Kluyveromyces lactis: one gene and its partners. Each later gene encodes a partner of the first gene's protein in a complex. Links are inferred from orthologs where the notes say so. Each region holds a gene or a part of one and is shown in the gene's direction. Other genes may lie near its edges. The genes, in order: RML2, MRPL38, MRP20, MRPL33, MRPL23, MRPL51 and MRPL9.

Evidence for each region.
Region 2: RML2 (region 1) and MRPL38 share a complex: the UniProt entries of both Schizosaccharomyces pombe proteins name them as parts of the mitochondrial large ribosomal subunit. The link is inferred for Kluyveromyces lactis from reciprocal best matches to the Schizosaccharomyces pombe genes rml2 and mrpl38.
Region 3: RML2 (region 1) and MRP20 share a complex: the UniProt entries of both Schizosaccharomyces pombe proteins name them as parts of the mitochondrial large ribosomal subunit. The link is inferred for Kluyveromyces lactis from reciprocal best matches to the Schizosaccharomyces pombe genes rml2 and mrp20.
Region 4: RML2 (region 1) and MRPL33 share a complex: the UniProt entries of both Schizosaccharomyces pombe proteins name them as parts of the mitochondrial large ribosomal subunit. The link is inferred for Kluyveromyces lactis from reciprocal best matches to the Schizosaccharomyces pombe genes rml2 and mrpl33.
Region 5: RML2 (region 1) and MRPL23 share a complex: the UniProt entries of both Schizosaccharomyces pombe proteins name them as parts of the mitochondrial large ribosomal subunit. The link is inferred for Kluyveromyces lactis from reciprocal best matches to the Schizosaccharomyces pombe genes rml2 and mrpl23.
Region 6: RML2 (region 1) and MRPL51 share a complex: the UniProt entries of both Schizosaccharomyces pombe proteins name them as parts of the mitochondrial large ribosomal subunit. The link is inferred for Kluyveromyces lactis from reciprocal best matches to the Schizosaccharomyces pombe genes rml2 and mrpl51.
Region 7: RML2 (region 1) and MRPL9 share a complex: the UniProt entries of both Schizosaccharomyces pombe proteins name them as parts of the mitochondrial large ribosomal subunit. The link is inferred for Kluyveromyces lactis from reciprocal best matches to the Schizosaccharomyces pombe genes rml2 and mrpl9.

Annotation. Positions count from the first base shown.
Region 1 is NC_006037.1:182,643-187,208, reverse strand, and holds RML2 (mitochondrial 54S ribosomal protein uL2m), read left to right. Parts: upstream 1-2,383; coding exon 2,384-3,589; downstream 3,590-4,566. Other genes in the region: ERD1 (Erd1p), read right to left, coding at 1-989; KLLA0_A02013g (putative aminopeptidase), read right to left, coding at 3,762-4,566. UniProt on the Schizosaccharomyces pombe protein: Component of the mitochondrial ribosome (mitoribosome), a dedicated translation machinery responsible for the synthesis of mitochondrial genome-encoded proteins, including at least some of the essential transmembrane subunits of the mitochondrial respiratory chain.
Region 2 is NC_006037.1:612,866-616,750, forward strand, and holds MRPL38 (mitochondrial 54S ribosomal protein uL14m), read left to right. Parts: upstream 1-2,113; coding exon 2,114-2,530; downstream 2,531-3,885. Other genes in the region: protein kinase NNK1, read left to right, coding at 1-1,652; putative serine/threonine protein kinase KKQ8, read right to left, coding at 2,821-3,885. UniProt on the Schizosaccharomyces pombe protein: Component of the mitochondrial ribosome (mitoribosome), a dedicated translation machinery responsible for the synthesis of mitochondrial genome-encoded proteins, including at least some of the essential transmembrane subunits of the mitochondrial respiratory chain.
Region 3 is NC_006038.1:504,324-508,465, forward strand, and holds MRP20 (mitochondrial 54S ribosomal protein uL23m), read left to right. Parts: upstream 1-1,812; coding exon 1,813-2,538; downstream 2,539-4,142. Other genes in the region: DNA-directed RNA polymerase II subunit RPB2, read right to left, coding at 1-1,032; sphingolipid homeostasis protein ORM2, read right to left, coding at 3,290-3,904. UniProt on the Schizosaccharomyces pombe protein: Component of the mitochondrial ribosome (mitoribosome), a dedicated translation machinery responsible for the synthesis of mitochondrial genome-encoded proteins, including at least some of the essential transmembrane subunits of the mitochondrial respiratory chain.
Region 4 is NC_006039.1:552,627-556,386, forward strand, and holds MRPL33 (mitochondrial 54S ribosomal protein uL30m), read left to right. Parts: upstream 1-2,031; coding exon 2,032-2,286; downstream 2,287-3,760. Other genes in the region: NGL2 (RNA exonuclease), read right to left, coding at 1-1,417; KLLA0_C06292g (uncharacterized protein), read right to left, coding at 2,486-3,256. UniProt on the Schizosaccharomyces pombe protein: Component of the mitochondrial ribosome (mitoribosome), a dedicated translation machinery responsible for the synthesis of mitochondrial genome-encoded proteins, including at least some of the essential transmembrane subunits of the mitochondrial respiratory chain.
Region 5 is NC_006040.1:209,843-213,549, forward strand, and holds MRPL23 (mitochondrial 54S ribosomal protein uL13m), read left to right. Parts: upstream 1-2,048; coding exon 2,049-2,516; downstream 2,517-3,707. Other genes in the region: KLLA0_D02464g (uncharacterized protein), read right to left, coding at 1-546; protein disulfide isomerase MPD1, read left to right, coding at 787-1,773; CRN1 (coronin), read right to left, coding at 2,861-3,707. UniProt on the Schizosaccharomyces pombe protein: Component of the mitochondrial ribosome (mitoribosome), a dedicated translation machinery responsible for the synthesis of mitochondrial genome-encoded proteins, including at least some of the essential transmembrane subunits of the mitochondrial respiratory chain.
Region 6 is NC_006042.1:775,830-779,629, reverse strand, and holds MRPL51 (mitochondrial 54S ribosomal protein mL43), read left to right. Parts: upstream 1-2,057; coding exon 2,058-2,486; downstream 2,487-3,800. Other genes in the region: KLLA0_F08371g (uncharacterized protein), read right to left, coding at 1-366; GCD2 (translation initiation factor eIF2B subunit delta), read right to left, coding at 2,697-3,800. UniProt on the Schizosaccharomyces pombe protein: Component of the mitochondrial ribosome (mitoribosome), a dedicated translation machinery responsible for the synthesis of mitochondrial genome-encoded proteins, including at least some of the essential transmembrane subunits of the mitochondrial respiratory chain.
Region 7 is NC_006041.1:1,425,230-1,429,361, forward strand, and holds MRPL9 (mitochondrial 54S ribosomal protein uL3m), read left to right. Parts: upstream 1-2,310; coding exon 2,311-3,132; downstream 3,133-4,132. Other genes in the region: snoRNA-binding rRNA-processing protein IMP3, read right to left, coding at 244-795; MRPL6 (mitochondrial 54S ribosomal protein uL6m), read left to right, coding at 1,324-1,968; exportin CRM1, read right to left, coding at 3,502-4,132. UniProt on the Schizosaccharomyces pombe protein: Component of the mitochondrial ribosome (mitoribosome), a dedicated translation machinery responsible for the synthesis of mitochondrial genome-encoded proteins, including at least some of the essential transmembrane subunits of the mitochondrial respiratory chain.

The DNA of each region.
Region 1 (4,566 bases):
CTCAAAATAAAATCGAGCGCCATAGCGCTATAATACCACGCATTTTTCCGGTACAACAAAATGCTTCTTAAAAGACCGTCCGCTTTGTTACTACTATTATTGTTATTGACACTAGTGTCCCCATTCACAAAATCGAACAGCTCTAGTTTCCAATCCATGGTCACATCCCACCAGAATGAATACGCGGAATTCCAAAACATGAACCAATACATCATTCCAAGTGGGCCCAGGTTGTAATATCTTGTATAGACTGTAACTAGCATGATAGGAATATTACCAGCATACTTAAAAGCATTGAACAATTGTGAACCATCTTTCTTCTGAGACCTTCCTCTTGTAAATTCTCTTAACGATTGAATCATTCTGACCAATGAGGGCAAGACTCCAACAAGTACGTCAATGTTTAACGATATAGCATTTTCATATCTTTCCACTTGACACTTGACGTTTGTTGGATCATGGAAAAGGAAAGTGGCATAAATAGCTAAATCCACCAATGGCTTAGAGTACGAGGTCAAAGTATCACTAATTATAATATAGTTATTCCTATACGGCTTTGGTTCAATGTCAGCTACCCAAAGTATTCTTTTAAAGCACCTTGCGACCATTGCTGATGACCTTAATATCATTGCAAATATGTAAAACAACTCCAGTAGTGGTGAAACATTCAAAAAAAACCAAAGCAATTTGTTGGATACGTTATTAGTGAAGGAGTATTGGAATAAGATTATACATACCAATTGCCACGGTATAATGACTCTAGAGATTGACTTGAACAGTTTCAGGCTTGATTGGTGTATTTTCGTGGATGTGTTAAAGTAAGGTAGTCCCGTGGACTCATTGGATACAATTACTTTGGACACGTCGTAGTAGGATACTGATACCTTCAGGAACCATGTCCATAGCCATAACCCTAATAACACAAGGACAACAACTCTCTGTGGGATCGGTAGGTAAACCAGAAAGGGTTCAACAGATTCGGCGTCCATGAATGCACGTATAAATAAGGAATCAAAAAAATGTAACAAAAAAAGGAGGAATAGAAGCAGAAGAAATCCCTTTCAGAAAGGCCCTGTGTGTATCGCTAACGGTTTAGATTTGTGGTTCACTGTCTCAGAGCTCTGTATAATCTAGGATCCTACGTTTTTAGTCCTAAGATAACACTTTTATTTCTATTGACATCTTTTCAAGACGTGTTTACAATTCAGATACCGGCACCAAAAATAAAAAAACACACACTACCGAAAAGCACAAGTTACAAGTACAAGAATGGAACAGCTAATGCTATATATAAACGTATTCAGGACTGTTAGAGATAACAAAAAGCGTGTTTCTAATCCTTTAAAATTTTGAATTTTATTCATGATTAGCATGGAAACTTTTAGTTCATCATTAATAGGTCTATATATTTAAGATAGAGAATGCCGAGTAATCCACTGACACATCTAACGTACACTTCGACTACCCGAATATATCCGGAAATGAAGAAAGTCAAACAAACAAGAAGATATAACTTGTACTGTATTGCCTGGACAGTTTATTTTAATAAAGTAATCGATTGATCAGAATTTTCAGTGTTTGGCTAATGCTAGTCGAATCGTTCATATTTTCGAAATCCGTTTGGGGCGACAGCGGTCATCATAATCGATATACTCAAAAAAAAAACAATCCAAATGATGGTATTTCCATACAGACAGTCATTATCTTCGTCGTTCCTTTTACTTGTTCATTTCCCGACATGAAGAGGAATTTGATTTCCGTTTGAGTTCAGTAAAAAAGACAGAATACGTTGCGAACAGGAACTCCTGTTCCTGATACACTACAAATCGAATCCTTGTTGGTTATGTCTCTAACTCTAATTAAAAGCTTTGTAACGGATAATAAAGTATTCGTGATGAGATAGAAACTTACCTCAAAATTTTTCACTTTTCCAGTTATTTAAACTAAAAACCATAAAACAGAAAGAATAGTCAATCTAACCATGAGAGACTGGTCTGCCATTAGGGCACAAAATAAGTACACAAAGATTTCCTGAATCACGTGACCAAATATTATATAATCCGGGTAAATTCAGAATACGTTCATAGTGATACTTCTTGCAAAAAATTCCATTTGACGATATTCCTCTGATGGTATTGAAGCTGTTTGAAATTAGAGATCGCTTGAAAGATTTTGATATTAACAAAAATGAACAATGTAATTGCAATGACTTAAACATTTTAAACTATGGATATTGATATATATAAGGGTGGATATATCTATAACAAATCTTATTAAGATCAGAGTTATTTTATTATTTCTGTGAAGGGCAGTAGCAAAGCGGAGATATTGGTATTAGACGGTTTACCCTAAGAATCTCGTTAGGTGCTCTGGATATAATATCATGTTCAAGCAATTCAACTTGAGATGCCTGACGCCGCTTGCCAGCGGCGTCTCCTCAAGAGTTCAAGTTCCGTGGAATGTTTCGATGATAATGTCTTTGAACAATACTTCACTTGGTGGAATCAGATCTATGGCCAGCATCACTCCAACCGGGAATGAAGAACAATCTTCAGTTGACGATGTCAATGTCCATATGTTGAAAATCGTTCCTAATAACACAGATGTGGTAGCACTAGAGAAGCAAGACGAATTGTTAAGAAGAAGAAGAAAGTTGGCTAAGGAAGTTACACAAATGAAGAAATTGAAACCGGTTTCTCCAGGTTTGAGATGGTACCGTGCGCCAATTTATCCATATTTGCATAAGGGAAGACCTGTTAAATCTTTGACTCTTGCCAAGAGAGGAAATGGTGGTAGAAACCATAGTGGTAAGATCACGGTGAGACATCGTGGTGGTGGTCATAAAAGAAGATTGAGAACAGTCGATTTCAGTCGTTTCGAATCTGGTATGCAAACTGTGGAAAGAATCGAATACGATCCTGGTAGAAGTGCACATATTGCATTGATAAAACATAACGATACTGGTGCCCTAAGCTACATTTTAGCATGTGATGGGCTAAGAGCTGGGGATACCATCGAATCATACAGAAAAGGTATTCCACCATCATTTTTGAAAGAAATGGGTGGGAAGATCGATCCTGCCATCTTATCTGTTAGAACAGCTCAAAGAGGTAACTGTCTACCAATCTCTATGATCCCAATCGGATCCATCGTTCATAATATTGGTATCACTCCTACAGGTCCAGGTAAGTTCTGTCGTGCTGCTGGTTCTTACGCACGTATCTTATCCAAGATCCCAGAAAAGAATAAAGCTGTTGTCCGTCTACAAAGTGGTGAGCACCGTTACGTATCATTGGAAGCTGCAGCTACCATGGGTGTTGTCTCAAATATTGACCATCAAAACCGTTCTCTAGGTAAAGCTGGTAGATCTAGATGGTTGGGTATAAGACCAACTGTCAGAGGTGTGGCAATGAACAAATGTGACCATCCTCACGGTGGTGGTAGAGGTAAATCTAAGTCCAAAAAGTTGTCCATGTCTCCATGGGGTCAATTGGCCAAGGGTTACAAGACAAGAAGGGGTAAGCATCAAAACAAAATGAAGGTTAAAGATAGACCAAGAGGTAAGGCTGGTAGAAAGGCTAGACAATGATAAGCTTCCCCACAACTGATCCTATCTTAAATATCATCAGTTTTTGTAAACTTATTTCAATGACTTCCATCCTGTAAATATCGTAGAACTAGTTAATTTAAAGAAATAACATAACATCTGTTCAGTTACCAACTCTATTTTAAACAAAGTTTAGATTACTACATCCAGAGCATCATTTGGTCTCTTCTTCCAGCTTAAATTCCCAGTTCCCAAGTTCGAATAAGGAACCAACGACTAACCTTACATGCTGGGCCATGTGATCAAATGAAAGTCTGTCTAAAGTGTCCATCGTACTGTGAATGTATTTGTTAGATTTGTTGAACTCACTTTCAATGACAAAGGAAGCGGGGAATCCATTCTTCGTTGCACTTCCGTGATCACTACATGCATATCCACATTCCGTTTCCACGTAAGGAATATCCAAGAATCTTCTTATAATCAACTTAATAAATTCAGTTAGACCTGGCGTGGTATAATCAGTAATGACACCAACATGCTCATTTTCTGGATCTTCAACATATCCGGTCATATCTTGTTGCAACATTGCGACGACTTTTTTGTTCTCCTCTGCATACCTGGTGAAGACATCCAAAGAACCTAGTAAACCACCTTCTTCTGCACTATAGAAATGGAACTCAATGGTGTTATTGGGTCTGTAACCTGTTGTAGAGAGATGTTCAACGTATAATCTCAATGCCTCTAGATTGGTTACGGTACCAGATCCATCGTCATCAGCTCCTGGCGCAGCAAGTATCGATGGCAATAAAAGGTTCATAGAGTCCTGATGCGATCCCATTACGACAATGTTCTCGGGAGTTTGTGCTCCTTTAATCGATACGATGATGGAGAATTGCTTCCAACCTTTATGCTGAACATGTTCAATGACAACGTCATTGTTCAATGGACTAGTGATGTTAGATAATTTCTCGGAGAGCCAAACAGCAGATTCGTACCCCGTGTCAGATTTGTAATAGCGA
Region 2 (3,885 bases), about 430 kb from region 1:
TCAATACATGGGAACCAGACTATCTTGGTAAGCCACAGAAGGAATCAGTATTGAAACTAGACGATTTGCATTCCCAAGTGGCTCCTATCCCTTTACCAAATGTTAAAAATGAGCAACAGCCTCAAATTCCTATAGCAAGACCGAGCTCATCATCGTTATTTTCTGCATCGTCTCTGAGAACTCCACCTGCCCAAATTGAAATATCAGAACATGACCTAGATAGAATTATGAGATCTATTCCATCGGATTTCATCAATATGCCATTTTCCCAACGTAAGAAGATCATACAGGATTTAAGTCCCAACCATGACTATAAGACTATTATGAACATTTTGAAACGTGAGAAATTAAGCCACAGTGGCTCAACACATAACGTGAGATCCAGACATGGATCAGTTGCATCGAAATACTTGAACTCTTTTACCCCCGGTTCTAGTTCTTTCAAGAGGGACGATAAAGGGTCTTTCATTTTGGGTCATAGACTTGGCAAAATAATAGGGTTCGGCGCTTGGGGTATGATCAGGGAATGTTTCCCTTCTACAGATGAATCTCAAAACCAGAATAATACTTGTTGCAAGGCGATGAAGATTATCAAGTTCAAGGACAATCGAAGTGTAAAGAGGCAAGTACTACGTGAAATCTCAATATGGTCGAAACTTTCCCACAATAATATTCTTCCTTTAACAAAATGGAAATTAGACGATGATCTGGTGGCATATTGTTTAACAGATAAGATCGATCATGGAACCTTATACGATTTAGTTGTTTCTTGGGGCGAATGTGGTAATTCAAAGATTAGTTTAAGAGAAAGGTGTCAAGCTACATCCGCCTTAGCGTTACAATTAATTGATGCTGTACAATATATGCATTCTAAATTCATTGCACATGGAGATATAAAGTTGGAAAATTGCCTTCTAGAAAAAAAGTCTGAGAACTACAAAGATTGGAAGCTTGTATTATGCGATTTTGGCATGAGTCACTTTTATGGCCATTTCAAAGATCAGATGGAAAATGAATCAATTCAACTGAAATCCCTATTTGATGGGTCTACTCTTCACTTGAAACGAAGACCCTCAATTCCAAGATCTTCCTCTTCAACGAATAATTCTTCTTTACGGTTGAAATCAAGGTTAAGACAAATAGTGAACGATAAAAAATTAATTCATGATGATACGACTTTGGGTATTCACTCCGTACCAAAGAGCACTCGTTCTAACCTAACCAGCTCGTTGAACCAAAAAACAGACATTACATTAACACCTAACAAAGATTTGCATGAACATATCAACGATGACATGAGCAGAATTGGCTCTTTACCATACGCTGCTCCGGAGTTACTAGAACCCAACCCTCCTCCCATTGGACCAAGCGCTGATATATGGGCCATTGGTGTTTTAATTTTCACCATGCTTACCGGCAAATTACCTTTTAAACATGAATACGAGCCCAGACTTCGTGCAATAATAACTTCAGGTAAATATGATAAAACGACACTACGCCAAGTTTGTAACTGTGATATGAACTCGAACTTGGGTGTAGATGACCAGGTGGAATTCCAAGGTCTATTCAACGCAGTGAAGGGCTGCTTAACGAAAGACTTAACCCGGAGATGGGAACTTGATATGGTGAAAGTAGCTCTGGGTAAGCATTGAAACTAATCCTAAACTAACAAAATATTTTCTACTATTCTGTCCTTGTCAGTTATAACCCTTAATTTTTAATTCAACAAGCATACCAATAGCATTAATAGTAACGCATACTGTTACATTGACCTTTTTTCTGATGTTTTACCATTCTCAACAGCATAATACTTAATAATTTTACTGAAGTATATAACGATAACTAATGAAAACACCAGCTGTCTTAACAATGACGGCGTTGTAAGCACTTTATTTGTATGTAGTAAGCGTTGATAATGGCGTTGATTAGCCAATAATAAATCAATCACGTGATATACATCAATTATGGGTTAAGAAAAAATTTGATGAAACCAGACATAGAAAGCTTTAATCCTTTCTCTAACGATAGTCCAGGAAGAAAAGCTGTGCTTTCCCGATCAGTAGCAGCCTGCAGCACACGACCTAACTGAAGTTCACACTGTGACTGTTATAACATGATTTATTTGAAGTCTTTTTTGAAAGTCATTGACAACTCAGGTGCTCAAATTGCCGAATGTATCAAAGTACTTGGAAAAGGTTCGCCAAAATCTCCAGGTAGAATAGGTGACAAAATCGTCTGTGTGGTGAAGAAGGCTAAACCATTAACACAAACTATTACTGGGCAATCCAATAACAACAGAGTGAAGAAAGGTGATATTGTACACGCTGTGGTGGTACGTACCAAGCAAAGAAATATGATACGTCCTGATGGATCAACAATTGCGTTCGGTGACAATGCTTGTGTATTAATCAACAAGAATAATGGTGAACCTCTAGGGTCAAGAATTATGGGTAACGATGGTGTTGTCGGCAGAGAACTAAGGGAAAAGGGCTACAACAAGATTTGCTCTCTAGCAAGTAAAGTTTTGTAAATATGTTTCACCACTGGTAAATATCGATTACGACTGCGCAGGGCTTTTAGAATCATGTATATAGATAATAAAAAATAGAAAATATCGTTAGTAAAGTTTATGAAAATGCCATGATAAATATGATGGATACGCGACTACCAACTTATTGCTCATTGACAGTGATATCAATATTTTATAAGTGTTTCAAAGAGATGTATGTTTATCTTAAATATAGATAAAAATGATGCGAAAGAAACTAATCTAAATCTGCCAAAGTAGCAAGGCCTTCAGCTATGAAACAAATTTTGGTGTTACACCGGCCTTGGTGGATATGTAACGCAGCATTTTGTCCTCTTCATCCACGAACTTTTTAGCAATGAATCCACCGTTATCCTTTTATTCGGATCAACTTGGAAGATATGATAAAGTGCAGCAGTTCTGTACCGGTTCATACCTGGAGACACATGTTTCATTTCGTCAAATACATAATATTGTCCATGTTTTTCCATATCCTCGAGGAATGCGTCATATACTGAATCCTTGCCTTTGATAGCAATTTTCCATAAATAATGGCCTAAAACCATAACACAGTAGATAATACCACAGCTCCAGCAATCAACTAGTCTTGGATCGTATTGTTGTTTTGGAATAAACTCCTCAGGCGCAACATAAGGCTCAGATCCTGCTGGTCCGGTTTGGAAATGTGCTTTCTTTTCCCAGGCTGTTTGGAACACAGAACTTGTACCAAAATCACATATTTTTAATACACCTGTAGGGAGAAATAGCAAGTTTTCTGGTTTAATATCACAATGAGCTACACCGTGAGCATGCATGTATTGAATACCATGTAGTAGTTGTTTCATGAAGCAATCTGCTTCTAATGGATGTAAAACTGAATCAGATTTTGAGCTTCTTGTAATCAAGCTGTATAGATCACCTGAAGGGCAAAATTCCATTACTTCATAAAATGCGTTAGGTGTTTGCATTAAATCAATAACGTTTAAAATGTTAGGATGTGTTCTTGCCGAAGATCTTCTGCTTTTGTTACCACCACTCAACGATAATCCTATCACAAATTCTGAGGTTAGTCTTGTGCTAAACTTCTTTGGAGGCTCATCAGGTCTTGGCTTCAGTTCTTTTACCGCATAGAATAACTTGTTATCATGGAAATATGTATTATCTTTCAGATCAGGTTCATCTGGGTCAATAAATTTATAGCATAGTTTTACAACCCCATAGGCACCTTGTCCAATGATACCGATCGACTTCCCGTATTTCTCACATAAATGCTGCTTTCGTGGAGCAGAAGAAGGTTCATTGGAGGAAACTGCATCAGACTTAGAGCCCTTCAAACAAAATCCGTTATCGATCTTTTC
Region 3 (4,142 bases), on another chromosome or scaffold:
CTGGATTCTTTTCTCCTTCTTGATACCCAAAGCTGTACCACGACGACCAATGAAATCCAAAGCTGTTTCTCTATCCTGAATAACAAACCCTTCCTCCACACATGGTTTCAACATTTCTAACATTTGCCAATCGTTGACATCATAACAGATATGTTCTAAGATTTCACCATCTGGAATGATACCTAATGCTCTGAAAATAATCACAATGGGAATATCTTGCTTGATATACGGTAAAGTTGCCTTGATGGTACGAGAGGTGGAACCTTCACGACCATACAACTTGACCTGAAGTGTACTGATAAAACGAGAGCCCTTTTCTAGAGCAGATCTAATTTCTGCGATATGTGAGATTGGAGAAGGAGCAGATTTCTTGAACACTTGGACAATATTACCTGCAGAACGTTCTTGAGCGATCAAAACCTTTTCTGAACCGTTAATGATAAAGTAACCACCCATGTCGAACGGACATTCCTTCAAACGATACAAATCAGATTCTGTCAAATCGTCCAACAAACAGTACTTCGATCTCAACATGATAGGTACTCTCCCGATGAAAATTTTATTATTTTCCTCATTCTCTTCACTTTCCTCAGTGATAATTTCGTATTTCAAATCACGACCTGGAATATCAATAGCCTGATAAGTTCTCTTCTGAATTTCCACAAATAAACCTGATGCGTAAGTCAAGTTTCTGAGACGGGCTTCCTGCGGATACATCGCATGAGAAACACCATCTGACTCAGTCATGGATGGTTTGGCCAAATAAATCTTACCAAATGAAATTTCATACTTTCTGGAAATGTTGTCCGTTTCAGTGGTATGCTGTGCTAATTGTTCCAAAATCAAGGTACTGTCTTCCAAGATAAGATCCTGAATCGTATAGTTGATGAATTGGTTAAAAGAATCCAACTGCTGAGATACTAAACCTTTTTCTCTGAAGAAAGCGGAGATAACAGTCCACGAATCTTCTGCTGAAATAGCAGCTTCTTCCTCATCGTACCCATATGGATCTTCATCATAGTATTCAGTCATCCTTGGTCTGTATTAAGAATTGCAAACGTTAATAATCTACACTGACCTCACAACCGTGGCAAATAATGCGTACGTGCGTGCTTATTATTAAAGTACAGAATAACACTCTTTGTTGTGTTGCTCGCAACCTGAAAAGAAATGTGTATTACTGGTCAAACAAAGAAGAAAACACACCCCAAATACAAAGAGTTAAGGACTTACCCAATAATCCGAAACAAACCCCACTCTGACAGAAGATGATTAAGCCGACTGGTACTCTCTTTTCTCTTCTCTCTTCCAATCTTCCTATTAACGATCAATCGGTAATTACGTTTCGCCTCTCAAAACAATAATATTTCAATTTCAAGCTTCCAGAGTATTTTTTTTCTTCACTATAAAGAGAACATCATTTCCCACGTCACAAACGGGTAACAGCATTTATTCAAAAATTTCAATATATCAGGTCACGTGAAGATCATTTCCTACGCTCTGATTTTTCCAATAAAAAATCTTTCTTCTAAAACATCCCAGAGCTCTCCAGTTTTGTACGACATATTCTACGTTAGATTCGTGCCAAAATGTGTACTCATCAGCTTTTCTAATATCTACTAACATGGAAAATGAGTATTTTAAAGCTTTTCATTGAAATGATTTCGATTTTAACATTAAGATTTGTATGAAGATGAGGCTTCTAAGAGACGCATACAAGAACAGGATTATTTGGGACTTTTCAGTTGCGAGTGCAGAGCGAAGTGAAGTAGTAATCTTTGCGCCAGTGTTTCTGTTCAATATCTATAACAAATGCCTCGTTTTTTCCCATCTCTCAAACAGGGTTTGAGAAACCTTGCTACTGCGGTAGAGACGGAATCTACAGTAGCAGTCAAAGCCAGTCAGTTCAAGAGACCTCGTCAATCCGTACAAAGCAGAATCTTGGAGTACACTCGTGAAGCGATTAAAACTGAGAAACCACATTTTAAAGTTGGTGGTGCAGAGCTCTATTTTCCTAAAGCGAGAGTTATTCTACTAAGACCAAATGCTAAACACACTCCATATCAAGCGAAATTCATCGTTCCTAAATCGTTTAACAAATTAGATTTAAGAGATTATTTATTCCACCTTTATGGTTTAAGAGCGTTGAACGTTACTACACAGTTATTGCATGCCAGATACACTCGTGCTACGCCGGTGTCGCCCAGGTACCGTGGTCCTCAAATCAAGAAGATGACTATCGATATGGCAGAACCATTTATCTGGCCTGCAGAACCTGAGGACAAGAGTGCATGGAATACTGAGTTCCAAAAGGAATTGGAAAAATACAGAAACGATAGGATGAGACTAGGATCCGACGCTAACAAACCTTCAAAGGCATTCGATGGTGTATTGGGACCATACCAGGAAACTGCAAAACCTTTCATTCCTAGATTCCTTAAAAGAAGACTAGTGAATAAGAAGGCTAGAGAGGCAAAGAAGGAACAATATTTGGAGCAAATCAAGAAGGTCAGTGAAGTCCTTGCTAAAAGCACATGAATTTCAGAGAATTTATTCTTTCATGAATTAAATTCTAGTAAAAGTATTACATCCTGTAAATATAATGTATGAAATATAGTACTGATTTAAAAACTGTCATAGCAAAATAATATGACGACTACTTGTGAACATTTTCAATGTTTAAATGAGAAATAAGTTTGAAGAACACTATATGTATGTATAAAAGATAAATACATTGTGGTGAATATTAAGGGAAAGTTAAGTGCAGTATGTCCCAGTTTGAAAAAAAATGAAGCGAAAAAAGAGTAACGGTATAAGATTTCTATTTGATTCCTGAATTTCCGTTGTATTGATCTTCACGGTTCAGGATGGAAGGGTTCAATAACGGGCAGGTGCTCATTTAATGTCATACTTAGTCACTAAACGGTTAATCTTGTTTCTTTTTTTCCTGTTGCTGATTATACTAAGATTGGCATTCTAATGTTCTTTATAAGTTCCTATTCCAATTAGTACACGGAGTTTCTAGTTTTTTTGTTCCTGTCTAAATAGGAACAGGATAATGATGATAATGATGATGAAAATAATAATAATAATGATGATGATGATAATGACGATATGAACGAAGCGAGTTTCTCCCAGTTCTGGTCAATTAGACAACAGAAAAAAACATGAGATATTTTATCGCTTCTGATGTGAACCGGAGAGGCAGGTAGAGAATCTCCTGCCTCTCTGTTTTTGTTTTTTTTCCTTTCTATTTTTAATGTTTGATTCATTCATTTGACTCCCTTTCTTAGCTGATTTGAGCAGGTCCTGTGATACCAGGAATGCTTATTCTTAGCCTGTGAGTTACAGGTAGTTTAGGAACCACAGCTACGAAGGTAGTTAAAACGAAGTTCAATAAAAATAGTTGTAAATCGTAACGGCAATAATGTGTTGACAAAAGAAACAAACCGATAGGTACCGTAATCAAAAACTTCCTAGTAGGCGTATACAACACCCCATCATCGATCTGTTCCCACATTGTTAGATTATCATAAACTCCTCCGTTGAAATCGAAAGGTGTACCTTTAATCAAATGGAACATGATATAGGAACCAACCACGTAAGCGATGTTAGTCAAGGTCCATGACCATTCGTTAGACATTCCAGGTAATAAATTGAAGAAGAGTCTAAGCAGTGCAATCACAACAAGGTGGATAATCCATGCGCCTCGCTGATTCACCCAATTAGCGTTCATATTGTTCATCATCTGTTGGTCATTTTCATCTTCAAAGGATTCCGGTTCCACATGCGATATTATACTGGAAGAACGCCTTCTTCTGTGATCCTTGACAGGTTCAATACCAGACGCACCGCCATTACTGTTATCTTGTCCATAAGATGGGAAAGGTTTCAACTGTGACATCGTTTATATTTTGCCTTCAGCTGCGTGGTACCTTCTTAACCAGTACTCAAAAGATGAAATAATGAAAAGCTCAGTCAATAACAAATGCGTAAAAAAAAAAAGAGAGTTTCAACTAGTGTCACACACTCCTTTTTATCGAAATTAAGTTATTCTACGAACGTATCCGAATATTTTGATGATAAAGGAACAGAGATCAGTTTGGATCAAGGTTGTTATCAACGGCCTCAGTGGTGATTTA
Region 4 (3,760 bases), on another chromosome or scaffold:
TTTGCTCAAATGTTGATAGCTCATCTATCTTAGTACAATCGCATCCATCCCATGATGTAACATAATACAAGTAGTCTAACAAACCTCTCCATGCATGTGCCCAATTAGATATTTCAGGTTCATTACGCTTGTTGTCCAATCCTGAGTTTTCAGGATGAACTTTCGAGTAAGCAATTGAATACAAGGATATAGCGCGCATGTCAATGTCATTATGAAGGGTTTTCATGTTCTCACATAACTGCTTTTGCTCTTCGTTGCCGGAAAAAGATTCTGGCACGGGGGTCTCAGGTTGACCTTTACCAAATTTTTCAATGTTGCCGCCTTCTTCTCCTTCTCCTTCATCCCCATCTCTTAGTTTAGAGAAGGTAAATGAAGTGCTGCACTCTATAACTGTTTTAGCCCTTCCGGTATATTCCACTGGTTTTGATGTGATGGACAAATATGGGGCATCAAACGGCTGAGAATTGAAATCGCCACAGAAAAATGCTGGCCAATGTGAATTATCACCGTCTTTTTCGTTTTGAAGAACGTTGATTCGATTCTGGAATTCTTTTACTTTTTTTAGTACAATATAGCATTGTCTTGTCCGTTCATATGTGCCAAATGGATGCCAAAACAAATGTGTGGTACCAATAATTATACCACTGACTTTGGTGTCTGGATATTTTTCTAGCACTTTCTTTTTAAACTTCAAAGAAAGCAACATGCCAACATTTTTGGTAGTTGTTCTTGGTTCAATGGCACCTGTTGTTTCTTTGTCGTAGTCAATTAACATCTTATCTGTCATATCAAATAGATCTTCTTTCCAAGCAATTAATACTCCGTGGTTTTTGGTAGGATTAAAATGGAATTGACACATGTAACCTAGTTTTGTGAACTCCATTTTCCAGAAAGACTTGTATTGAACCGTGTCAATTTCTTGCAAACACAGTACGTCAACATTGTAATATTTGAATTCATTGAGTAAAACTTGAGATCTTTTAAACCATTTAACAGCATTTCCGCTCGTAGGAAACAGTGTTCTTCTAATCAAAGCTTGGGCAAGACAATTATACGTCATTATACTGATTGGACATACCTCTCTCGTCGATTGGCCTGATGAATCTCGAGGAACAGCTAACATCGGCCTTTTGATAAATCTAAGGTCTGCGGGCAATTTTGGATCTATACCTTGAGCAATAAGAGCCTCTTTTTTTGCTATTTTCGCAGCTTCTCTCTTAGCTCGCATCTCAGCGATATACTCTGGAGTGATCTCATTCAAGGCCTTGCCTTTTTTCTTACTTTTCTTGTCCTTTACTTTATTCTTACCTTCTACCTTCAACTGGTCCATCCCATCAGTAATCGATAGCTTTTTTGCTTGTTCCACAAGCTCTTTTGGAACGTCTTTGACGCCGGTGTCTTGCGTACTACCAGCCATATTGGCTCAAATTATTACTTCTACTTTGCAGTGTATAGTGGCGATATAAACCTTAGAGAGATCTAACCAACCATGGCGTTAAGAGCTTGTTAATATGATATATATATATATTATTCAATCGGGCATAAATATTGGAAAAAAAGAAATGACATATATATATATATATATATACATAACCAAGCAAATGCCCCTCCTAAGACAATTTCAATGCAACTTCATATTCAGGAAGAAATATTCAAACAGCGAGATATAATCTTGAGATCTTTATATGCAATTCCTGGTTCTTTCTCAGTAGGTAGCACTTTCCTGCGACGGTTTGTGAGAAGTGCCCAAATGACATACGCGATGAGCTGCTAGACAATATACATCACATGATATCACTTTATACGTTTTGATGCTATTTGAAAAATCAATGTACGTTGGCTATTAATGGTTTGAATACCCAGTTAATCTCTTCGATAATGATGCACAAGATCTCTTAAAAGAGCGTTTTTTTTTGACATAGTTCTCTATATTGTCAACGAAACTTACGACCGAGGAAATTATACTTCATTACTGGTATTAGCGAACGGTTTCTAAAAGCATAGCTATCATAATAATTTTCAAAGATAGCCATGGTTTTCTACAGAATTACATTACAGAGGTCAGTCATTGGTACTCCACAGAAGACTAGGGCAGTGGTCAAGAGTTTAGGACTCGGAAAAAGAGGATCTGTCGCATATCAACCAGCTACACCATCTATTGCAGGTGCTGTCGCTCAGATAAAGGAGCTTGTGAGCGTTGAGCTTGCCGATAAAGCTTTAAGTAAGGCAGAACAGCGTGAGCTAAGAAAATCAAATCCTGGATTTACTGTCGAAAAGAGAGTATAGAAAGGATCATACCAGACAATATAACAAACAAAGCAATGTACCAGAAACATTTAACAGAGAAGAAACTGGGCTCACAATGAACATCTTCTGTTTTACATAAAGAAAAGGATATTAGGATTTTCATGTATATAGAGATCAAAGAAATATTAATCTTATTCTAATGAGGTATTTGAGAGTATCATATACCAAACGTCTTTATTTAGAAGACACCGGTGACTTCTCTGGTGAGAATATTCCTAGGCTGTTTCACGTATTCGTCGTCACCATCTTCACCATATTCATCATCGTCAAATGCCACCGAGAACGAATCTACAATTCTGAAGATATCATTTTTATTCATAGCTTTTCCATCAAAACTTAGTTCTATACTGTCATTTGCCGAAAAGAATTGATTTTCTTGAGCCAGCAATTGATCAACTCTATTGTACAAATGTTTTGTTTTAGGTCTTTGTGGTAACCTTTGAACACTCATATTCTGGGAGATATATTTGCTCAAAACAGCTGGTAAAGCGTCCAATGTGGTATAACCGAATCTATTGTCATTACAAAGTTTGAATGCTTCAGCTGATTCATGGGTTTCGTTGATCAACTTTGTTATCACGGGAGAAATTTCCATGTCTGATTTACTTGATATTGGAACATCTATCTTGTAAATGATCTTAGAACTTTGCATTGTATGATACTCTAGTTTTACATTGATCTTTGGAGTATCGTAGTTCAAGTTCTTACTTGGTGGCTGTGAAATTCGATTGAATTGCCCAAAAGTATTTGATGTGTCTACATCGGCGATGTTTTGAACTTCTAATATTGGAGGAGACGACGATATGTGCTGTTTGTTTGGAGACTGCCGAGTTCCAGAACCATTCTTAAATTTGAATTTAGTACCCTTCGTCTTACTTGAAGTATCGTTGAATATATGCGTGGTGTTGCGAATGCTAGAACGATTTGATAAACGTCTTCCCTCTGTCATCGTTCACTCTACTATAGTCTCGGAATTTCAAACGGGGTCACCCAGTAGTCCTTTAGAAAGCAACTATATATCCGTGATCTGCTCAACTGTATTGACCAAATGCTTTGCGAAAACTGTAGGACATGTGGATCAACTACCAACCATTGGGAGTGGTATGTATAATGTCTATTGCCTTGTATTTTAATGTTCTGTTTTTAGAGAGTTCAAAATGTCAACAATAGTTGTGTTGACAATTGCCTAAAAGGTACAAAAAAAATTAGTGGTATTTATTATGTAATGCATAATGACGATACAAAAATATGCAAGAACAAAAGTTGGTTTTATGCAAAAATCCGAAAAGTAATTGATGAGCAATACGTACGTTGAAAATGTCTACAAAAATGGTATATTTTGGATGTAGAAGATATAAGTATTAGCTGAAAAGTAGCTGAAAAGTAGCGTTTATTTACAAGTTAATTGCGAATTAATTATTGAAACAGGACTCAGGTAACACAAAAAAGGAAG
Region 5 (3,707 bases), on another chromosome or scaffold:
TCCCGCTTTCTCGATCAAATTCTCAAACGTCTCTCGTTGGTCCCAACCTTGTTCTGGGATTACCTCTGGCAAAAAAGTAGCACTCATCCGAGAATTGGTCTTGGGATGCCTGAATTTAATCTCAATACCATGTTTCCCAATCTCCCAATTCCAAATATCACCACTATTGCCTGTGCCCTCACTGCTATAAATAGTCTTGAACTGACTGAGTAAATTGCATCCACATCTTAGCTGGCTCAATTCTTCCCGCTCGATTGGTGTAAATCTCGAATCCTGCAATGCAGATATCAAAGCGTACCTTTTCAAACCCTCTTCAATCTTACCTTCGGAAAACGTACCAATACACCCTCTAAGTTGGTATTCACCTTTCTTCAACTTCTTCCATGTGACAAATAGGGGACTCCGTGCAAACTCAGGTTTTAAACCTTTCCCCTGATACAAAAAATCGTTCACGGTTTCTAGTGTTATCTTAGGCACGCGATAAAATTGGCTGTATAACTGGTAGAAAGCATAAAATGCGTATGGAGAACTAGTTTCTAATGACATTCTCTAATCACTTGGCTCTGCTATTGTGTGTTTCCTTATTCCTTTGATGATGATGATGGGATCGTGTCCCCTTATTTCTTAGTTCTTATGTATCGATGTTCCTTTTAACGATTTCAAAATCAAATCTTTGGGTCCACTGCTGCCAAGAAATTCAACATCACTCGAAATTGACAAAAAGAGAAGAGAGTAAACCACCTTGTTAACTTCCATCGTTGAACATTTTCTAAAGTCCTCCAGACTATGATGTACACACGTCTTCTATATGCATTGTTTTTGTTGGTCGAACTGGCGTTCGGAGCCAATTTCTACGACCGTGATGAGAATATCATGGAATTGACACCTTCTAACTTCGATAAAGTCATTCATAGGACCAATTACACCACTTTGGTCATGTTTTATGCTCCGTGGTGTGGTTACTGTCAGGAATTGAAAGGTTCCATGAAATCTGCCGGTAAAATCCTCTCTGGAATGGTACAAGTTGCTGGAGTGAACTGTGATGAAAGTGTGAATAAACAATTATGTGCACAGAACAGAGTATCGGGGTTCCCAACGTTAATGGTATTCAGGCCTCCAAAGATCAATTTGGATAACCCAAAGAAAAATTCCAATGGTGCTGCGTCACAGCATGCCACAGAAGTGTACAAGGGAGAAAGGAAATTGAAGCCCATTGTCGATTTCGCTTTATCTAGAGTGAAAAACTACGTGAAGCGGTTGAACCGTTACAGTAAGTTCGAAGAACTATTAAAATCTTCAAGAACCAGGTACGCTGTAGTGCTTATCTCAAAGAAGGAGAAGATTCCAACTTTATATAAATCTGTAGCCCTCGATTGGCTTGGGATCTACGATTTCTATTCGATCTGGGACGAGAAATTGCAAGGCGTGTCACAATTGAGTTTTGAGAACGATACAAAGAATTGGCCAAATACTGTTAAATACCTCCAATCGTTAGAAAAAAGTGAAACTGAATTACAATCGCCCAGAATCGTAGTGATAGATAGAGAAACAGATACTTATGACGAACTAGACATATTAAAAACTACAGATAAAAATGACATTGCAACGTTCCTTTCGAAATTCGAGTCAAAACCAAGGGAAGGTCCACTCAGTAAGAGACAAGAATACCTCAAATCTATTTTGAATAAATCAAAGTCAAAGAAGTCCAAGACTAAAAAGAACAAACAGAAGACTAAACTTACGAAGGACGACATAGTTCAGGATGAGTTGTAGGTATTTGTTAGTAGCTTGTATATAGATTGTGTTTAACATCCGGGTAACAGTAATATGAGCGATTGAAAAAAATTTGGCTCCAAGCTGAAATTAAACATCAATTAATCAAATCGATTGTCAAGCTAAACATATGATGAGTTAAAAGACAACTGACTGTCCCGAACTATCCCTTTACCTAAGTGATTACAGTTGAATAGCATCACTTAAAATTTAACTTTTTAGGTGCCACGTTTTAACCTGTCAGAAAGGAGGCAAAATAACAATATATTAGAAGTATGTCTCAAAAGGTAGGACATACTGGTTTGGCATTTGCCAGGATGTGGCATCATGTTGATATATCCAAGGACAAGAGAACGCTTGGTAGGGTGGCATCTCAGGTTGCTCTAGCGTTAATGGGGAAGCACAAGCCAGTGTATCATCCATCTGCTGATTGCGGTGATTATGTTGTGGTAACGAACTGCCAAGCTTTGCGTGTGACGGGGAACAAGATGACCCAAAAGACGTACTGGTCGCATACTTCTAGACCAGGTTCATTAAAGTTGACTACAATGGAAGACATGATCAGTAACAAGGGTTACAGTGAAGTTTTGAAGAAGGCTGTGTCCGGAATGCTTCCCAAGAATAAACTTCGTAAGATCAGACTTGCTAGATTAAAAATTTTCGATGGAAGTGAACATCCATACAAGAGTAATATCACCGCATTTGCTGATCAGCAACTAGAGCTGCAACACCAGAAGAAATAGTGTGGATGAATTTTTATGTGACTTCTTAATTTTTGAGAAGTTAACGGCAGCATGTGATGTAAAATCCCTGTATATATTATTATTCGATCTAAATGGTTCTCCTTAGTACGCATACAATGTCTGTCGTTTTTCACTGTACTAAACTCTTCCACTTTACTATGTACATATAGATTGTTATTTAGATATGTTAATTATCACATACAAATCACATACAAATCACATACAGAGATAGAAAAGATATTACATCGCAGTATGCCAAAGCATAATACTTTTGCCTGGAAGAAAGAACATTTAACAGAACAAAAACGAGAAGAATTAGGGAAGGATGTATTTCATATTTGATATTATTTCCCTTGCTCCAAAAGACGATCTACTTTTGCTTCCAAAGCAGCAAGAATTTCATCTTTGCGGGTATTTTCCTCGGTTAATTTATCAATATAGCTTTCCAACTTTAGAACTAATCCAGATAATGTTTCTACAGATTGTCTCAAATTGAGAGACTTGTTCGTAGATGCTCCAGCTGCTGCTGCTGCTCCAGCTGCTGCTGCTGCTCCAGCTGCGCCACCTGTATTCGGATTGGAAGATGGCTTTTCTTCGCTGTCTTCCTGAGAAGGGTTCACACGGATGTTTGTTTCCACGCTAGCCTGTGATGAAGCTTCGACCTTTGCCTCTGGAGTACTTTCGACTTTAGAAGAAGCTGAGGCCTTCGAGGTAATTTCTGTAGACGAATTTTCTTCCTTTTGCTGTGGAACCTCTTCAGCAGCCTTGTCAGGTTCAGAATCGGTGTTAGCTTCCACCTTCACAACAACTTCTGGTTGTTGTGATGCTTTCACGATCTTTTCATCCTCAGAGTCCCATACTGAACTTTCTTCGCTTGGGTTTTCAGCCTCATTATCAGCATCTAAGTCAGAAGCCTTTTGCAGCAACTTGTTTACAGAAGCATCCTTACTCAATAGTTCGTCTACTTGGTTCTTGCCAGTGTCTTTTGCTGGTGGCATTTCTTTCCTAGCTGGACTACCAGAACTAGATGATGAAGCAGGACTTGGTGATGTTTTCTTACTTTTATTACTAGGCGTTAGTTGAATTATCACTTCATGCTTTACTTCTGTGGATGGGGATTGAGATGGAGATTGAGATGGAGATTTTGGCTGTTCTTTAGACTCTGAAGTTAATTCTTTGACTGGTTTCTTG
Region 6 (3,800 bases), on another chromosome or scaffold:
CTCATTAGTATTCGGTAACGCAGCAATTTCATCCAAACTGTAATTACTAGCCAAGAAGTTATCTGCCATATAGGTGAAATGTGGCGTGGACGTCTCAGTAGCTGTGGAATAATCTAGATCTCTACTCATTGGTGTGTCCTGTAACAACTCCGCAATAGAACCAAATTGAAACTCTTTTCCGCTAGATTCAGTTTCAAATGTGAATTCAGGAAAAACCTGTTCTGAATAAGCAGTATTGTTGGGACCAACTGCAGAAGGATCTTGGTTAATTGATGAATCTTGACTAAAGTCAAAGAAGGATTTTAATTCCAAATCCAAATTAGGCTGTGCTTCGCCATCATCGGATAAGTTAAGATATTGCTCCATAGGTAGCTTTTGTTTTAGGTTTGCCTTGGTTAGGTGTTCACAAAAGTTCTTTTTTTCTAATGCAGGGACAAAAGAAGTTTGCCTGCAGAAATGTGTCAAAAAGGTTTTTTCAGGTTTTCTCAGACAAAGCCGCTTAGAAAACGTTCTTGGGTTTTTGGTATCAGGTTCTTTCAATAGTTAAATTGAAAGCAAAATATATTTCAAACGAGCGACTGTATTTATTTTTATTGTTTTTAAGGTGGTGGTGCTATGATTATTGCAACTCTTCGAGTTCAATGTTCACACTAATTCACACTCCTTTTTCCTTTTTAAGGATAGACGTAAAGTTGGATCCAATGAATGATTTTATTTTTCTGTAGCGAGGTATTGAAGCTTCTGAAAACTGACGTTTTGAAACTTTCTTGTTTAGTGACAGAGAAAATAATTTCAAAAGGTATGTATGGGTAGGGAACCAAGTTTAGCGTTATAATCGTTTTTAATGAGCGTAGTAAAGTTAGGTTGTTGTTCGAGGGTGTTCAATCTTTAATTAATCTGAAGGAAAACTATGTATATTAAGAATTCTTCAATGACATGAAATAAAGGTGCAAGTAAAAGGTATGAAAATGGTAGTAAAAAAGTGCCATTTGCTGCCCTTCTTATATAATACAAATGTTACTTTGGACACGCTAATAAACTCTTAACACCTTATAAGTATTTACCGTTGATGAATTACCAAGTTCCAGTTAATTAGTATGGTATTCTTCTGCTTTTTTCCCTAAATTTTTTTGTCGCATTTTATACTGCATCGTTGAAACGCTTCAGTGAACGCCGTAATAAATTAAAGAAACGGATACAAACCTTGACTGTTCGCTACTTACAAGTGAATGTTTTTTAGGGGTGGTCATCGTTATACGCATCCTTAAAAAAACGCATAGAACTTTAATTTTTCAATAGTTATAGGGACATTATACGCACCATAATGATAAACTGGTGACTATTATGGCAATACATTTGCCTGTTCTTGAACAAAGTGTCATACACTTACATCACACTTAATAGGGAGTGCCCAGTTAATTGGTTTAAATGACGCATGTGCATAATTTTTTTAACAAATTACTAGTGTGCATCCAACATACGCTAGGTGTCAATCCGTACATTCCATGGGTGAACGCAAATCAGGCCCTTTATTTAATTAACCTCATATGAAGCCTTTGGGACATCTTGGATCAGAATCTGGGGCCTCTATCGTACTTTCTATGGATTTGCTCAGTAAAAGTACCCTTAACCAAACGCTGGTAGTGCATTATTGTCATAACCCATCGACAGATCATCAAGTTTACATGACGTATGACATCTCATGAGGATGTGTTGACATAGCAATGTGAAAGAAACAGAATATAGTCGGAAAGAGGTTCTGTATTATTTACATTCGTCACCTTATAGCAGTGTTGGTACCAGTATCTTTTTCATTTGTGTGAGCATGTGGTGAATTGTCCTCCTACCTTCGAATACATACAGATTTGTTCACGTGACTGATGGTCTTTTGAAATTGGAAAAAAATAATCATGAACTGAAAACTCGAATAAAACTCAAAAGATATATTAGTGAATCTATGTTCTGCATCTGAAGGATCTCTCCACAGTTTCAAAATACACCCAACTTGTTTTCTAATCAGAGCTGGTACCCGCGGTCATAAAGATTTCTCTGAAGTAATGGTTGTTAAAGTTTTGAGACAAACTTCTATCGCAAGAAATGGTGTTGGCGCTTTTGTGCTTCCATGTAAAAAGATCACTTTGCAATACTGTAATTGGGGTGGTTCCTCACAGGGTTTGAGAGATTTCCTAACGTCTAACAGAATGATTCAATGGGCTGAAAAATATCCAACAATACAGTTCGAAATAGTAAGAAAGTCTGGCCATCCAGTTATAAAAGGTGACTATGTTAATGGCCGTAATAAAGCCATCTGCGTAAAAAATCTGAACATTGATAATGTAGAGAATAAGTTAAAACTAATCAGAGACGCATCTGGTGAGCAACTCCGTCACAGAACTAAGAACGACAATGTGGATACTTTGAACGATAGTGTGAGAGGTATCTGGTCTCCACTACATTTAAGCCCAGCCATCAGACACAAGGTTTGAATCGAAAAAATGACTTGTGAATGGTAATATCGAGATCATAGCTTAACTTGTACATATATATAGCAATATCCTCGATGAAGCCGATACCTAAGTAAACAACCTACGATGTTGAATATTACTACGCAATTAATAAAAAAGAAGATCTATACTAATTTTTCATTTACTATATTATATGATATTATCGTATATTATATATGCAAAGGGCTCCATTCAAGCTGATGCTTTGTATTCTCTAAGAACCACGGGAACAGAAGATGGTGGCAACGAACCAAATTCTGTAATGATCTTCTTGATGTAGTCAGGGGGTGTTAAATCGTACATTATATTGAAGATGTGCAAATTAGGTGATTTCTCCCACTCTGCTAGTATTGGTTTATCCTTGACATTCTTACCTTCGTCGGCAGTAGCATTATTGGTATTAGCACTGCCAGATTTATTATTTTGCTTAGAGCTATTCTCGACTTCCTTCTGCTGCGCTTCACGCTCTTTGATAAATTGCTGTAATAAGAACCCATTGTTGTTACGTCTCTGTACAGGATTAGCAGAGTCAATGGTTACCAAATCGTTTGGATCAGCAAGTTCATTAGATGTGACACTATCAAGCTGTACCCTTTGAGAGAACTTTAAAGACTCACAGCATACAAGTACAGGAATATTTCTTCTGCTTGCCAACATAGCGATCTGAGCAGTACCGACTCTTGAATATAGGAAACCATTTGAAAGAATCGAATGCGCTCCCAAAAACACATATTTGATATCCATATTGAATACGGTACCCAATGCTGTAATGGGAACATACAAAACATTAAGACCTTGATTTCTCAAAGATTCTGCCATTTTACGACCCTCAAACAAAGGTCTACTGTCCACTATAACAATTTGGAAGTTCTTACCGAAATTTATGGCGTTGTGTAGGAATAAATCAGTTAAAACCTTGGAACAGCCATAGGTCAATATAGTGCTGCCTTCTTCAATATGTTGTGAAGCTGTTTCAATGATAAGTTGATCAGCCAACTGCACTCTTTCTCTAGCGAACTGTGCAATCTTATCACAAAGTTCTTTTTTGGCCTTTGAATCCGGTGTTGAAGGATCGATTAGAGAGATTTCTTGCTTCAACCATCTAATGGCATTACCCATGGTTACACTCAATGGTCTTGACTTCTTCAAGAAATCAATTTGATGGGACAGGTAACTTGTCAAATTACGTGAAAGAGTAGTACCTTCTGGAGTCTTGTAGTCTCTGACAACCAGTTGGAATGCCTCTAACATGGCAATACAACGAGGAATGGAACCTATAATTTTATAGAATGCATA
Region 7 (4,132 bases), on another chromosome or scaffold:
GTTTTACCATTCTGTTTTTTTAGACCTCTTTTGGAGTCTTGTTGAATACAATCCTTACGTGTTTATATGCATTATCCGGCATATCCATATACATTGGAACCGAGCTCGAAGCAAAAGATTGTAATTAGAATACTTTTTCTTATGATACATATATACCACTACTACTTACTTTCCTTTCAAATTTGTAAAATAATAGTTTTTGCCCTTTTTCCTACTTCCGAAGGCAAGTATAGCAGGATCAATCTAGGCATCGTCAAAATCATCGACCGCGTTTCTATAACGTAGTACAGTCTTCTTGATCTTGGATGAATCTGTCCATGTAACGTAATCCTCCAAATTCCTTGTTACCAAATATGCTGGATCTGTAATCAAGTTAGGTCCTACTCTAACATGACCTTGTTCAATGAATTGAACGGCATCCTTGAGTGTCTGTGCCATCTTTAATCTATGCATTATTACAGGCAATCTACGACGACAGAAAGCCGAGACTGTAACTTTATTCTCTAGTGCTGATATCTTGGATTTTGTTGAAAGAATGCCCATATGATATAGTTTCTCTAGCAAGAGCTGCTCGTGCTTGATACGGAAGGGATCTGTAGGTTGTAAAAGCGATAGCTTATGTGCCAAACGACGCACATCACCACATATTCTGTTATATTTATGATAATCCTCACGGTTCTGGATATGGTACGTACGCATCACCTGCGTATCTCTGTGGTTCTGGTCCTGTTTCCATTCGTAGAAATCGACCTTCTTGAGAAGCTTCTGCTCATGATGTTTCAATGCTCTTACCATACTGTATTACCTAGTGTATCTGCTTGGAGTATCCTATCCTTATATTGGCTATGAGACCACCAAATGACTTGCTGAACGCTCTTGAAACCACTTCAGCCTGCTATATCATTCAGTAATTGAGATGAGATGACGATGCGTAGGCGATGAGCTTGAAATTTTTCAAAAAGAAAGGGCAAAGATCAACAAGTCACGTGATGCACAGGATAATATAAGCACAAGGTATTTACTCCTGTGTTTCGACGAAGAGCAGTCTCCACATCCCATTTCGACCCAGGAGTGGCCTAGATGGTCACCAATCGAGAGTAACAGCCTAAGTATATCTTATTTAACAATCGTCAAAGCAATTAAAGTTACCCTCCCATACTATCTCACTATTAAAATTTTGATTCCAAGTGAAAAATTGGTTGAAAGACGCATAGAGATGAGTGCTGGAAGAACAGATTGATATAGACGCATTTGATCTAATATACCCAGTCATATAGCGGCTGCAAAGTGGGCTAGACTATTTCCAGGATATACACAATTACCATGACATTTGTTTCCAGAAGACTCTTTTCTGTGTCGGCTCTTCTGCGCTCACATATTGGTTCTTCTCCGGTGTATTTGACACCGGAGACCAAGTTGGTGGTGGAATCAATGAAACTGCCAAAGATCATCAGAAAGGGTAACAAATCTCTTAAGTTATCTCAGAACGTAACTGTATCGGGTCCTTTGGGGAAGATTGATATGGAAATCCCAGATTTCGTGGAGATAAAGCAGGATGGATCTTCGGGAAAAATCGAAGTTGCAGTGAAGGATTCTACCGACAAGACGCAAAGATCCATGTGGGGGACGGTAAGATCTCATATAAATAATCATATCACAGGCGTGAATGAGAGCCATATGGCTGTTCTGAAGTTCGTTGGTACCGGTTACAGAGCTCAATTGGAGGAAAATAACACCTTTGTCAACGTCAAAGTCGGTGCGTCGGTAAGACAAGGCCTACCTATCCCAGAGGGAATCATAGTTAAGTCTCCGGTACCCACGTCGTTGATCGTGGAAGGTGTCAACAAGCAACAAGTGCTACTCTTCGCTGCCAACTTGAGAAAATTCCATCCTCCAGAACCATATAAGGGTAAAGGTATCTACGTTAACAATGAAACTATCAAGATCAAGGATAAGAAGATCAAATGATGACGATAGAATGATGATTATAATTATTATAATATTAAATAACATGTAAATACAGAAGCATAAACATACACTTCCAATAACCGTCAAGGGCACACTTAATTTGTGTTAAATCAGTGAGAGAACTACGTGCCGTTTTAATCACGTGATCTATAGGTAACTTTATCGATTCAAAAAATTTTCAATATCGAAACAGCTTTAACAATTATACAGAGATGGAAACAGGTTTCAATAGAGTCTTTAAACTACATTTTAAATCCTTTACAGTTTCTCCAGCATTGCCAAGAGGTTATCTGGATTGACACATTTGTTATCAATCGACCAGTCTTTGAAAATTGGGGAATAATGGCATTTATTGGCAGTCCTTCGTCGAAGATTTGGACAAGACTTTTCTCACAAAGTGGAGTATCGAACGGTGCCAAGTTAGTCGCACCATCCGTGGCAAGCAGCATTCATCTAGATCCTGTAGATATTAAACATTCTCCAGAAAATGCGCTAAAGAGAAGAAGATTACCTCTACGTTGTGGTGCTTTGAGTAAAAAAGTAGGGATGATGCCGTATTTCGAGAAAGAGACTGGTAAACGTATAGCAGCTACTGTACTTCAGTTGGACAATAACGAAGTTATACTACACAGAACTCCAGCTGAAAACAATTACTGGGCTTGCCAAATTGGTTATGGTAACAAGTCGCCGGAGAATGTTACCAGACAAATGTTGGGACATTTCGCTGCACATGTTGTGAATCCAAAGGAAAAAGTTACCGAGTTTAGAGTCAAGGACGAATCTGGACTACTACCAGTGGGTTCTTTAATCAAACCTTCGTGGTTCAAGCCTGGCCAATACGTTGATTTAAGATCAATCAGCAAAGGTAAGGGTTTCCAAGGTGTAATGAAACGTTATGGATTCAAAGGTTTGAAGGCATCCCACGGTGTTTCCGTATCTCACAGATCTGGTGGTTCTTACGGTCAAAATCAAACACCTGGTCGTGTGTTGCCTGGGAAAAAGATGCCTGGTCATATGGGTGTCGACACTGTAACAATTCAAAACGTGCAAGTGCTGGACGTCAACGACGAAACAGGTACTGTCTTGGTGAAGGGCTCTGTCGCAGGTCCAAATGGTGCATTCGTTAAGATCCAAGATGCTATCAAAAAGCCAACCCCAGTATAAAAAACTGTGATTAAGAAATTGAATCTTTTCAGTCGTTTAGACACCGTCCCGAAATCATTTGGAAAGCATGCCTTTCTACGGTTATTATTAACAATCTATACCTGTATATACACCAATTATAAAATAGTAACTGCTGCAACGTTGAGTGTCCTTTTCAACCAGATATTTAATGGCTTTCATACGTTGATACTGGATCCTGGGTATATGTCGGAGAGAATTGATTACAATTTTTTTCTCTATGTGGGAAGATATACGGCCTGCTATGTATATATTTGCCTTGCTTGACAAGTGTTAGTTTCAGCTTTCATTGGATCCGCAGAAACTTTTTCGTTTCTTGACCATGCTGTACATTTCTGTAAGGTGTTATCTTTACTCATCATCATCCAATTCCGATGGTTTCAATAACCCACCGATCTTGGAAGCTCTTTCTCTTTCAAGTTTATGTTGTTCCGCGAGAGCTTGTTCTTTGTCCTCTGCGAACAAATAATCGGTTGGATCTCCACCGAACTCCTTGATCTGGACCAAGAAATCTCTAATAGTACCAGTGAAATGCTTTGGATCATGATATTGTTTGAGTAGCGCTTGAATGAAGTTCATAACCTGTTCACCACTCAAATGAGGGAATGCATTGCTTAACATGGTTGCTAGATAGTTAGCCAAGTAAGCTTGATTAGAAGTGACTGCAGGAGCTTCATCTTCCTTGTATAATGGTACAGCTATTCTATTTTCTTCTACTCTGGCAATCAAATTCATTAAAAGATGAGCTTGCTTGCTGAATCCAGATTTGTGATCTGAATCAGTGAGGACATAGAAGGTTTCGCTAAGGAATGTGAAGTAATAGTTCTTGTAGAAATCGTTAGAGAATTCAGACGGACTAGCGGAATCAACGTTTTGAATAAGGTCTAAAGCAATTTGTAACCCATTTACCTCAACATCTCTGTTGTTGTGTTTGAACGCCCAACATATGGCATCAACGAAAAGTTTGAAAGCCGGTGGTGGT